Callithrix jacchus: one gene and its partners. Each later gene encodes a partner of the first gene's protein in a complex. Links are inferred from orthologs where the notes say so. Each region holds a gene or a part of one and is shown on either strand. Other genes may lie near its edges. The genes, in order: KPNA4, RANBP3 and NFKB1.

The links.
Region 2: the proteins of KPNA4 (region 1) and RANBP3 are in contact, whole or in part, in a crystal structure (PDB 5XZX), measured with the Homo sapiens proteins. The link is inferred for Callithrix jacchus from reciprocal best matches to the Homo sapiens genes KPNA4 and RANBP3. Residues at the interface, in NP_002259.1 of Homo sapiens: Arg96, Leu99, Ser100, Asp102, Arg103, Pro105, Phe133, Trp137, Thr140, Asn141, Ala143, Ser144, Gly145, Thr146, Ser147, Thr150, Glu175, Gln176, Trp179, Gly182, Asn183, Gly186, Asp187, Asn219, Trp222, Val225, Asn226, Arg229, Asp261, Trp264; in NP_015561.1 of Homo sapiens: Asn114, Tyr115, Cys116, Pro117, Pro118, Val119, Lys120, Arg121, Glu122, Arg123, Thr124, Ser125, Leu127.
Region 3: the proteins of KPNA4 (region 1) and NFKB1 are in contact, whole or in part, in a crystal structure (PDB 7LFC), measured with the Homo sapiens proteins. The link is inferred for Callithrix jacchus from reciprocal best matches to the Homo sapiens genes KPNA4 and NFKB1. Residues at the interface, in NP_002259.1 of Homo sapiens: Arg96, Lys97, Leu99, Ser100, Ser101, Asp102, Arg103, Pro105, Phe133, Trp137, Thr140, Asn141, Ala143, Ser144, Gly145, Thr146, Ser147, Thr150, Gln176, Trp179, Gly182, Asn183, Gly186, Asp187, Asn219, Trp222, Val225, Asn226, Arg229, His230; in NP_001158884.1 of Homo sapiens: Glu357, Glu358, Val359, Gln360, Arg361, Lys362, Arg363, Gln364, Lys365, Leu366, Met367.

What each region holds. Positions count from the first base shown.
Region 1 is NC_133518.1:24,785,024-24,788,670, reverse strand, and holds part of KPNA4 (importin subunit alpha-3), read right to left. Parts: intron 2,065-3,647; coding exon 1,933-2,064; intron 1-1,932. UniProt on the Homo sapiens protein: Functions in nuclear protein import as an adapter protein for nuclear receptor KPNB1. Binds specifically and directly to substrates containing either a simple or bipartite NLS motif.
Region 2 is NC_133523.1:5,604,625-5,608,271, forward strand, and holds part of RANBP3 (ran-binding protein 3), read right to left. Parts: intron 3,604-3,647; coding exon 3,520-3,603; intron 946-3,519; coding exon 742-945; intron 65-741; exon of another isoform or gene 1-64. UniProt on the Homo sapiens protein: Acts as a cofactor for XPO1/CRM1-mediated nuclear export, perhaps as export complex scaffolding protein. Bound to XPO1/CRM1, stabilizes the XPO1/CRM1-cargo interaction. In the absence of Ran-bound GTP prevents binding of XPO1/CRM1 to the nuclear pore complex.
Region 3 is NC_133504.1:94,841,856-94,845,967, forward strand, and holds the start of NFKB1 (nuclear factor NF-kappa-B p105 subunit), read right to left. Parts: upstream 2,845-4,112; 5' UTR 2,388-2,844; intron 2,191-2,387; exon of another isoform or gene 1,998-2,190; intron 1-1,997.

The DNA of each region.
Region 1 (3,647 bases):
GGCTGAGGTGGGAGAATTTCTTGAACCTGGGAGGCGGAGGTTGTAATGAGCCGAGATCACACCACTACACCCACACTCCAGCATGGATGACAGAGCAAGACTGTCTCATAAGAAGTAAAGAAAAGAAAATTGTACAGGTTTATTTCTGAACTCTTGATTCTATTTCATGGATCTGTATGTCTATATTTATGCCAGTATCATAAAATTTTATTTACTATAGCTCTGTAGAATTTTGAAAATGAGAAGTCCTCAAACTCTGTTGGTCATCCTAACAGTATTAGACAATCCATGAACACGAACTGTTTTACCATTTATTTAGGTTTTCTTTAATGTCTTCCAAAAATGTTTTATAGTAACCAAGCTTCTTTAACAAATCAATTGAAAGAGGAAAGATAAAGGAGAAGAAAGTTGCACAGTAACAGAGGCTTAAAATACATAGTAAGCAGATGCAATGTGTAGTCTTTGTCTGGATATTGATTGGGTAAAATTGTGAAAAAATAATGAAACAGTAGATATCAATTGGATATTTAAAACTAAGGTTTTAAAAAGTGTACTAATGGTATTGTGGTTATGTTAAAAAAATAGGCTTAAATTTTAGAGATGCAAGCTGCATAAAATGGTATCTGGAACTTGTATCAAAATAATTTGGGGGAGTGAGTGGAGGTACAAAGGAAAAAGTTACATAGGGTTCCATGACACTATTTTATTTTGCAAAATTATGGCATGAAAGTTGAAAGGTGTTAAGAAAATCCCTGTAAGGTGTCAGGTAGAGTAGAGAATTTCCTTGAGCACTGGCTAAAGGTAAATTCCAAGCCCTATATTCTTAGTGAAGTCCAGCACGAAAACTGAAGATACATTCTGGAAAAACAAGAACAAAATACAAACCAAAATCTGTACCAAGACAGAAGTACCACACAAAATAAACTTAAGAATAAACATATGGCAAGAATATTTAAGATAAGTCATAAATGCCCTTAAATGACAAGTTTTTATATTCATTCCTTTTCTTTTGAGACGGAGTCTTGCTCTGTTGCTAGGCTGGAGTGCAGTGGTGCAATCTTGGCTCACTGCAACCTCCGCCTCCCTGGTTCAAGCGATTCCCCTGCCTCAGCATCCCAAGTAGCTGGGACTACAGGCACACGCCACCATGCTCAGCTAATTTTTTCTTTTTCATTTCAGTAGAGATGGGGTTTTACTATATTGGTTAGGATGGTCTTGATATCCTGACCTTGTGATCCACCCACCTTGGCCTCCCAAAGTGCTGGGATTATAGGTATGAGCCTCTAAACAGTACATTTCAGTACAGTGCCTTTATTTCAGCACCAGTGAAGCTAAGAGTTAACTATAGTTGCCAGGTGAGTAAAAAAAGGATGGCTGGCAAGGGGAAAAAAAAGTAGGGAAGTCAAAGAGGAAGAATAAAAAGGAGTAGGAAAAATAAGTGCCTGTCAATACTTGTTTCAGATGTCATGCATGTTGCTATAATGAATTTCCCTGTTCTACATTAAAAATCAGTAATCAGGCCGGGCACAGTAGTTCACACCTTTCGCTTTGGGAGTCTGGGGTGGGTGGATCATTTGAGGCCAGGAGTTCAAGAACAGATTGGCCAACATGGCAAAACCCTGACTCTATCAAAAATAGAAAAAAATTAGCTAGGCACGATGGTATGTGCCTGTGATCCCACCCTCTCAGGAGGCTGAGGTGGGAGAATGGCTTAAACCTGGGAAGCGGAGGTTGGGTTACAGAGTGAGACCTCATCTCAAAGAAAAAATTAGTAATCTACAATGGAGTCTTATTATTTATTTTCCTCTTTAAAATGGTGGTAAAATAACTCACTCTCTCAATCACAGATTTGTTGTTATGCTAAGAATATACTTTAAACTTAAAGCAATTAGTGGTAAGAAATACCTATAATTTTACTAGGAACAAACTTACCTGAACTTTAACTTCCTGGTGGCTGAGAAGAGGAACCAAATGAGGAACTATTCCAGAGTCTATTACCATCTGTATTTGTTCATTGCCAGCATCAGTAAGGTAAGAGAGGGCCCAGACTGTATCTACCAATATCTAATGAATAAAATAAAAATTCAAACAACTTTTAAATATTTTCTCATTTTAGTAATTCTTGACCAAACAACTATTCTAAGATTGTTCTACTACCTTCTTCCTTTTTTCTCTCAGTTCAATTCATTGGAATCTGCTCACTATTGTATTAAACATAATCATCTATAAATGTCTGTATTAAGATGTACGTATTTTAGCCATATTCAGGATTCTGATCCCAGATTAGTATACAATCTTAATTCACTAAGAAATACACGCACACTACACAGGACATAAAATAGGAGAAAAAGACATTCTGTTTCCCAAAGGTTGAGGGACAATAGGTCTAAAAACATTGTGGTTCATGTATAGAGCTGGAAAGACTATATGTATCCAACATGCACAGCTGTTCAAACCATTTGAACTACATGAATATATTCAAGGAGTTCTCTAGTAATATAAGTACCATGTAGATATGCCTGAAGCCAATAACCCAAGTATTTGTATCATAGTATAATAGTTTAATCTTTTCCAATCAGTTTGTTTTGCCTTATAGAACTGTAGTCAACTTCTTAAATAGTGGGAGTCCCCTACAGCTGCAGATTATTAAATAATCACAGGTCAGTCTGTGAGATCTATAATTAAAACAAAAAATACATACTTCACTACAGCTGCTATTTACCCCCCTCCCCCCAAAAAAAGTGCAGCCTGTGTAATCAACTTACTAAGTAGCCTGCCATTTTTTAATGATTATCTCTTAAGTACAATGGGCCATGTGTTTGATCTTTCCTAGTATGTCAGGTCCTAATTAGAAGTTATGACCGAAGGGCAGTATGACAAACAACTGTAACTGCTGCAAATAAATACACAAATTATTGACAAATAATAATAACGTGCCTAAAACTACTTCCAAAGTCTTTCTGGAATATGAACTCTGTGTTGAGACAAGCTGGAGAAGTCTAAAACCTTTAAAACTGTAAACCAGGCAGGGAGTGATGGCTCATGCCTGTAATTCCAGCACTTTAGGAGATGAAGGCAGGTGGACTGCTTGAGCCCAGGAGTTTGAAACCAGCTTGGGCAACATGGTGAAACCCAGTATCTATGAAAAATACAAAAAATTAGCCAGGCATTGTTTTTTTTTTTTGTTTTAAAACCTTGACTTAAAACAAAACTCACTAAAAAACTATAAACCAACGTTATGCTTAAGAAAAAATATGATTAAAAAAAAAACGGACACATAGAAATTCCTAAAAGGAGAAAACAGCGCTTTGCCACTGTTTCTTAGGAAATTCAAGAAAGCTCTAAGAATATTTCTAATAAAAAAAGAAGACATCAAATGAAAGAGTTCACACAGGCCGGGTGCAGTGACTCACACCTGTAATCCCAGCACTTTGGGAGAACAAGGTAGGTGGATCATGAAGTCAGGAGTTTAAGACCAGCCTGGCCAACATAATAAAACCCTGGTCTCTACTAAAAAATAAAAAAAATTAGGTGGGCAGAGTGGCAGGCACCTGTAATCCCAGCTACTTGGGAGGCTGAGGCAGGAGAATTGCTGGAACCCAGGAGGCGGAGATCACACCACTGCATTCCAGCCAGATGACAGGGCA
Region 2 (3,647 bases), on another chromosome or scaffold:
CGGAGAGCGCCTCTTCCTAGATAGCAAAGGAAGCCTTAGCTTCTTGGGTTTCTAAGATGCTAAACTTCAATGCCCGCATTCAGGGAAACAAGAAAGAAAAATGGAAGGAGGGTGAAGGGGTCAGATCAGCTGCGGAAGGTTCTACTTCACATGACTGAATTCCTCCTGACCCCTCATGTCTTTTTCGGGAAACAGGATTCACCTCTTGCTGCGGGTATATATTCCCCCAATTTAGAAAAGGCTAAAAAGGGACTTGATCACCCCTGACTTTTCCGCAGCACAAATTAAAAGAGAGTTGGAAGAAATCCTTGTCATTTTTTTTTTGAGAGGAGCCTCACTCTGTCGCCAAGGCTGGAGTACAGTGGCACGATCTCAGCTCACCACAACCTCCACCTCCCGGGTTCAAGTGATTCTCCTGCCTCAGCCTCCCGAGCAGCTGGGATTACAGGCATGCGCCACCACGCCCAGCTAATTTTTGTATTTTTAGTAGAGACGGGGTTTTCACTATGTTGGCCAGGTTGGTCTCGAACTCCTGACCCCAGGTGATCCACCCGCCTCGGCCTCCCAAAGTGCTGGGATTACAGGCGTAAGCCACTGCGCCCAGTCTCCTTGCCATCTTTTAAGATACCATCAGCCTATTACAATGAGCTAGGGCTAGGATCTGAGGGACCCAAGGGAAAGGAGTTGGTCTGGGTTGGCGTCTCCTTGGGCAATAGGAGTGCCAGGTAGGTGTGGACTTACCCCTGCCAGTTCTCGCGGAAAAGGAGGAAGCTGGGCTTCAGGAGCGGGAGGCGGAGGAGTGCTGGCTGAGGCGCCAGCAGGGGCAGGAGGTTCTAGGGCATGCTCGCCAGCTGACTCGGGGTGACCCGTGCCATGGTGGGGGGCCTCAGCCTCCCCCCGAGGCTCCTCTCCCGAATCCGACAAGTCTTTTTGCTCTGCAGGGGACTGGGAGCACAAAAGACAATTTTCCTTCAATGTGAATAAAGCCTGCACCAGACAGCAGGGAGGGCAGGCAGGGGTCAGAGGCTGGAGATGGCTCGGCCTGCAGCAGCTCCTGTGCCTGGAAGGACGGTGGAGAGAGCAGGCACTTGCTGCTGGGTTCTACTCAATAAAACCGGCTCTCATGGCTGACGAAAGGGAAAGTGAGAATGGGACTGGGAGCCATGTGACTTTGCAAGGAGCTCTGCAGTATGTGAGAAGCAGGACCCTTGTTTCCAAAACTATAGTCTGCCTGACAAGGAGCTACTCAGCTTATGGGCCTTGGTGATCAAGGAACAGAGATGATCATGCAAAAGATTTAAATTCCTTTAGTATCTCAGAAATACTGAAGTGGGGGAATTGGCCATCAGCACCATTTCTGTGCTTTAGGAAAGGGGAAGGTGGGGCTGGAACCCTACAGTTAGGGAGAAACCAGGGAGGCAGGGGTCAAGGGCTTCTGTTTCTCACTACAGTTCTTCTGGCACTTTCCATTTGTTCTGCTTACACCCAGGATGCAGAAAGTGCTTTTCCACCTCAGTGAGTGCCGGTGTGGGGTGACACAGACACCCAAGAGCTGGTTTTTGCCTCAGCGGTAGGCAGGTAGTTCAGATGGAGGAGGGGGGCACATCACAGAGCCCTTGGGCCTAGGATTCTCCCAGGTGCATCCTCAGCAAGATCCCTACTCATTCAGCAAGGGCTCACTGGAAAGCTGCCAAGCTGAGAGCAGCCGGTTCTGGAGTCTTCCTCCCCACAGTACAACACCTGGCATCCCTTCAGGTGGTTCTTGGGACTCCGGCAGGGCTTCGATGGGCTGAGAGCTCTGTGGCCATAACTCCAAGACTCTTTTCTTGAGAAATGGGTTATACACCTGGCGTCCTAAAACAGACAGGCTCTAGTCCCCAAACCTCCCTCTTGGCATTGTCCAATGACATGGAGCCATTTCTCGTACTTGGTGACCTAAACGAGTACAGGGCTGCCCCGTCTCCCTGTGGACATGGCGGTGTTTCTTCTGAGTGTGAAGCGGCTGATCTCTTTAGACAGGGCTTGGGCACTACTTAAAACGTAGGGATCTGGGAGGAGGAACGGAACTATCGAAAGAGGATGTGAGAGAATGTTCACAAATTCCTAGGAAAGCAAAAGCAATCCACGTCTCGAAAGGACTCTGTCGCCTCTCTCTACCCAGGGCAGACCCACAACCAGCTGCTCTCTAAACCTGCACAGGAGGGCACTGGGGTCGGTCTGGCCACCCATGTCTGGTGCTACTTTATGGTTAGACACTTAAGACCTCGAAAGAGAAAAATCAAACCCAGAGCTCTGTGGGGTACTGCCTATCTCTAATTAGAACCACCTGAATTTTTTGCAACCCCTGCTTTTGAAGTACAAATATTCAAACACCCTCATGTAATTCAAAATGCTGAACAGGATGCCCAAGAAGAAAGTCATAAATTGGAAATCCCGACATCAAAACAGGATGAAATTCATCATCTTTGGGTAAAAAGAATTGATTAGTACAAGTGTTGAGAAGTATTACATCACTTCCTCTCTCAGATTAGAAAATTTCTTGGGAGAATTAACCAGTGTTATTCCAGCATTTTCTACCCGGGTGCTAGCATTTCTCCTGGGCAGGAAGAGTAAGCTCTAAAGAACCAAGATGAGGCCTGCGATTTTCAACATGCCTGGTAAAATCAGACATCAAGATTCTGCCAGCCTTTGACCTTATCCTAACATTCACATGGCTGGCAAGAACCACACGCACCAGGGCTAAGCCCATCGCCCTAACAGTAAGCCACAAAAATAGGTCTCAACACTCTACGACCATATTTTCAGTCATACTATACTTTCTGCTAAATAGCCTTTCTGTAACTGCCTTCTGTCGTTTTACCAAATGGGCATGATTCTGCTAGCATAAGCTCAAGGCCTCCCTGCTTCAGGTTAACAAATGCTCTGGAGAGAGAGGAAATTAAATAAATGTTTAGTGTTTACAAATAATGGAACAGCCCACATAAGGATATTTACATTCTCGTCACATTAAAAAGGGAAAAGAAAGAACTCTGCCTCCATCCAAGGCAGTTAAGAAAGTTTTCATTTTTGCCACCCCCAACCATGGTGCCTGTAAATGTGCACTTACGGCAGAGCCCTCCCCAGGAAGCCCAGGAAATAACGCTCCTGTGCCGCCAACCGGGCCATGACTTCATTTTAGGCGCTAGGACTACAATTAAAACCATACATGGCTTTTTCTACCCTGGAACACTGGTAGGATTTGGCAACCTGACCCAAGGCTCAGTGAACCACTGGCACCCACACGCAGGCCACAGTCCCAACCGGTAGTGTGCTGAAGGGCAACGCGGCACATCAACGGGATCTGAAAACTGCTGTGTGGCTTTACCACTGAACAAAAACAAAACACTCCTGGGCTAGCAGCTTAAGGCCTTTTCAACTCCAAATCCTTTTTCTCAATCATGATTCGGCAGTAAAACCTGAGCATATGGAGCTGTCTCTTTGAATGGTGTGAGGGGTGCGGAGAGGAAGGGGCTCTTTTACTTGCATCCCATCGGGTGGTCTGAGATCTCCTTTACTGAAAGGGAAGTCAGCTGGTCCCAAAGTTGATGAGACTTCTTGAGACATCTGAGGGACAATAAGGACAACTTAAAACATAGACTACATATTGG
Region 3 (4,112 bases), on another chromosome or scaffold:
AATCTATATAGCAACTCAGACACAATTATGTTACTGTTTGAAAAATCAACTACTCGTCTTACTTCTCCCAAGTTCAAACCAACTGAAGGTTATGAAGCAACCACTTCCCCCAAAAGCCAGAACTTTCACCTCCTCTGAACAGAGAAATACCTCTCATAAATTAGGTAAAAATAAGGTCTTGCTGATGGAAGGATCATCCAAGATTCATGTAGCTGTCAATTCCCTATCTCTCCCACAATGTGCAATCCCTGAAAGTCAAGGTAGTAACTTACTCCATCAATTATCTGCAAGTCTAAAAGTGTGGTTAAAGCAACCTGCATAAATATTAGTTTCTCAAATTAGTTCAATTTGTTTCCAGGAACAGTAACAAGAGAAATGTAAGGAATATGATCACTAAATATAAAATTCTGCCAATTTCAGATTAATTTGCTTTAATCAACTCAACCATCACAGATCTTGTTTAAGAGGTAGAGTAAAAAGGAAGTGCAAAGATCAAAGCAATGCTTACAAAGGGGAAGGGGAAGGACTATTTTTGCAATGTATACCCCCATATTTACTACCTGGGTTTGAAAAACAGGGGCATTTACTCAGCACAAGTGAGTACCAATGCAGAACATAAGAAATTTCAAAAAAAAAAAAAAAGATAATAAGATTTTTAAATCACCAGCAACCCAGGATTATACTGTTTTCTTTAAAAAGTCTCTAAGAGTTTAAGTGGTTTTTTCACTGCAAGCAGCAGTATTAAGCATACATATAACGTGTTCCTTTGTGTTCAAGTTTGTCCAGCAGGCTGTAGCCCAGGAAGACATTTTATCTAAACAAGCAGGGGAGGCTATTTAGGAATTGCAGGTATATCAATATGGATGAATAATCTCAGATTTCATGTCTCCATTAATCGTATAAGCTCTTTTCGTTTTAGCAATTCAATTAAATCATGAATGTAAAATTCTACAAGGAACAGATCTTTTTACTTCCTGCTTTCCCAAGTTTATAAACTAAAAAAAGTACTCTGCTTCAAATTTAAATACATAATTCCCATAGTGCCTCAAACAGTAAAAGGATTCACCTCTAGAAAGCACAGTATTATAATTAGGAAAAAAAAACATACTTCAGTTTTAAGTTTCCCTTTTAAAGTTTTAACAAACAGGAATGCACTTTAAACTGCTTGATAATATTCAGTTGTCGGATTCTGCTAGAAAAAACGTATGGAACATCATGACCCCAACCTTTAGTATTTACTAAAGATCACCAGTGTGTAGAAGAATATTTTGATGCCAGAGCTAGTCAATGTTTTAGTAATACCATAAGCATTTTCTCAGATTATGAGCTTTATAACAAAATCTTTAGGTTAAATACAGTTAGTTCATAAACTGTAATGCTGAAAACCTCTACTTAACAGAGTACATGAAAATGTCTTGAATCTTGATAATTAAATCCTGTATCATTAAGTCCCATTTGAGTTTCAGGATAGACCAGTAAGCCAGGGCAAACATCCCCTGGTGTATATGTTTTTAAAGACCATAGGAAAACTTACATTTAGGTTAGGCATTGTTTTTACATTATTTTTTGTTTTGGAGGTCATGCACAATGCATGGTGACTCTGTCCAAGAGTTTTACATAATCAAGTCTAAAAAGTGCTCTAAGTATGCAAGTGACTATATCGTGTGTGTGGTGGGTTGGGGGGTGGGGGGCAGGGGGAGAGGGAGGGCGGGAGGGAGGGGGGAGGGAGAGAGAGAGACAGAGAGAGAGAGAGGAAGGGAGGGAGGGACAGCCTTCCTTTAGAAGTAGGAGAGGGATGAATAGACTCTCCTATTCAATTCTGGGGAGCTGGAGAGGGCTTTCCCAGCCAAAAGGACTGACAAGGACTTCTGCTTTCATTTCATGGAACGCCCTTAGGTGAAATCTGGTTCTGCACTGCACCAACCACCTTCCCTCTCTCCTCCGCGCCGCAGCGCACCTCAACCTTCTCACCATCCCCCAGCTGCGGCTGGGGGTGGGGATTTTAAAAGTTTGTAAGAGTTCCCCACCGGTTAGCGTTCCCGCCCCGCGGAGGGACGTGAATAGAAATGACCGCCCGGGGGCCACGGCCCTTCGGCCGAGTAGCCCCCTGCAAGGTCCGGATGCGCCGAGGACGTGAAGAGGAATGACCGCCCGGCGGCCGCGGCCCTTCGGCCGACTAGCCCCTGCGAGGTCCGGATGTGCCTTTCCCCGCTGTCTCCAATCCCTTGTGCCTCTCAGCTACTGTCAACCTTCTCCCACGGTCTAGCCCAGCGGTTAGCGCAGGAATAAGGAAGTCCGAGTGGGGCTGGAGGGGTGCGGAGGGCTGGGTGGTGGGACTCGGGCCACGCGTACCCTGCCGGGTCCCCACTCGCCCGAGTTTGGCTTACCCGGGTGGCGAGTCAGCGTTCGGCTTCCTGTCGCGGGTGGGCTCTCCCTCCCGGGCGGCGCGGGCCTAAGAGCTGGAGAAGGAAGAGGCGGCGGCCGGCCGGAGCCCGAGCGGGCCCGGGTGCGGGTCGGGGCGAGCGAGAGCGCAGCGGGGCCAGGCTGGGCCAGTCAGCGCCGCGCCATGTCCGCAGCGCGGGCGGAGGGAAGCGCAGGGCGCGCTGTGGCCGGGCGGCGGCGCGCCTTCCTGGCCGAGCGGCTGCGGCCTCGGCGGCGCTGGGCTCCGGGAGCCGGGCCGGCGGCGGCGTGCAGGCCGAGGGCGGCGGCGGCTGGCGGCCAGACCGACGGGAAGGGCAGGGGAAGCTGTCAGCGCGTCGCCGGGCCGCTCCGGTGGCGAAACCTCCTCTTCCTGCCCCGGCTCGCTGGTGCACTTCTCTCTCTTTCTCTGTCGCTCACTCTCTCACTTCCTGGCTGGAAATTCCCACTGACGTCGAGAGAGCATACAGACAGACTGACACACGCGCGCACGCAGCGGGGGCGGGAGGTGGGGTCGCTGGCGGGGGTGGGGGAAGCCCGCATTTATGGGGGCGCCCTGCGCCCCAGGCCCGGCCTGGCTTCTGGGCTCGGCTCCCGCCCCTCGGGGCCGCTTCGGGGCGCCGGGCGAGGGGCGCGCGTTAGGAGGCCAGGACGCCCCGGTACCCTGCAGGGCTCTGGCTTCCCAGCCAGGCGCTCCCGAACCCCGAGGGCTGGAGCCGGTAGGGACGCCCCCAGAAAGCGCCTGCTGGGCCTGATGGTCTAGGAACGCAGGCGGCGCGGAGGCGGCGGCGGCGGCGGTGCAGCTGATAGAGTCATGCGGTCCAGAGACCCTAAGGGCAGGCCCGAGCAGCTGGAGGGTCGGCATGGATCCAAGCATGCCAGATATAAAAATAAAGCTCATCTGTATATTCCATTTAAGTGTGTCTCAGTTACACTCAAATCTCTTCGCAGATTAAACTAGAATTTAGATATCATAACCGACTTGTGTCAAGTGAAGTAACCTCTACTGGTTTTGGTGCAGTCTTAAATCTGGTTAGGACACTTACTCAGAACATTCATCTACCAGATATTGTTAGGCTTTTATGATAATTACTGTGGATAGAATCATAGTGATGGTGGTAGGAATGCATTTGATCTGACAGAGGGGAGTTTTCTTTTTCTCTGAAGAGATCGTTACTGGCACCCACAGACAGGCCTCCCAGTGGCCACCACCATTCACTGGCATCTGAACTGCTTTAGTGTTGGGCACTGTACTAGGCACAGGCTGGGGAGAAGTTGGTAGTGGACTACCTCCCCACATAAGCATGTTAAGCCGAAATAGATATTTTAGAGCTCATTGTTTAACTACTGGGTCGAGTGACAACTGAAAGCTTAGCTTTAAAACATCAGTAATCAGGTCTGCACCAGGCAATGTCGCAGTGACATTTAGATTGCTTATGGCATGTTCATCCTAATCCTTTCATGCCCACTTTCTGTCCTCCTTCTCCAGTAGGTCATAAGAACCTTCTTGGTGGAGTGTTTTTATGGAAAATAAAAACGAAACAAACAAACAAAAAAAACAGATCCATTTGATTGCCTATGAGGTGAGCCTCCGCACCTAGCAGTCTACCTTTAAGAGATCTCATTTAGCTCCCAGAGGCTGAGCAGCTGGGATTCAGAAGATTCATAAAGATTGAACACAAAGACTTTTAAAG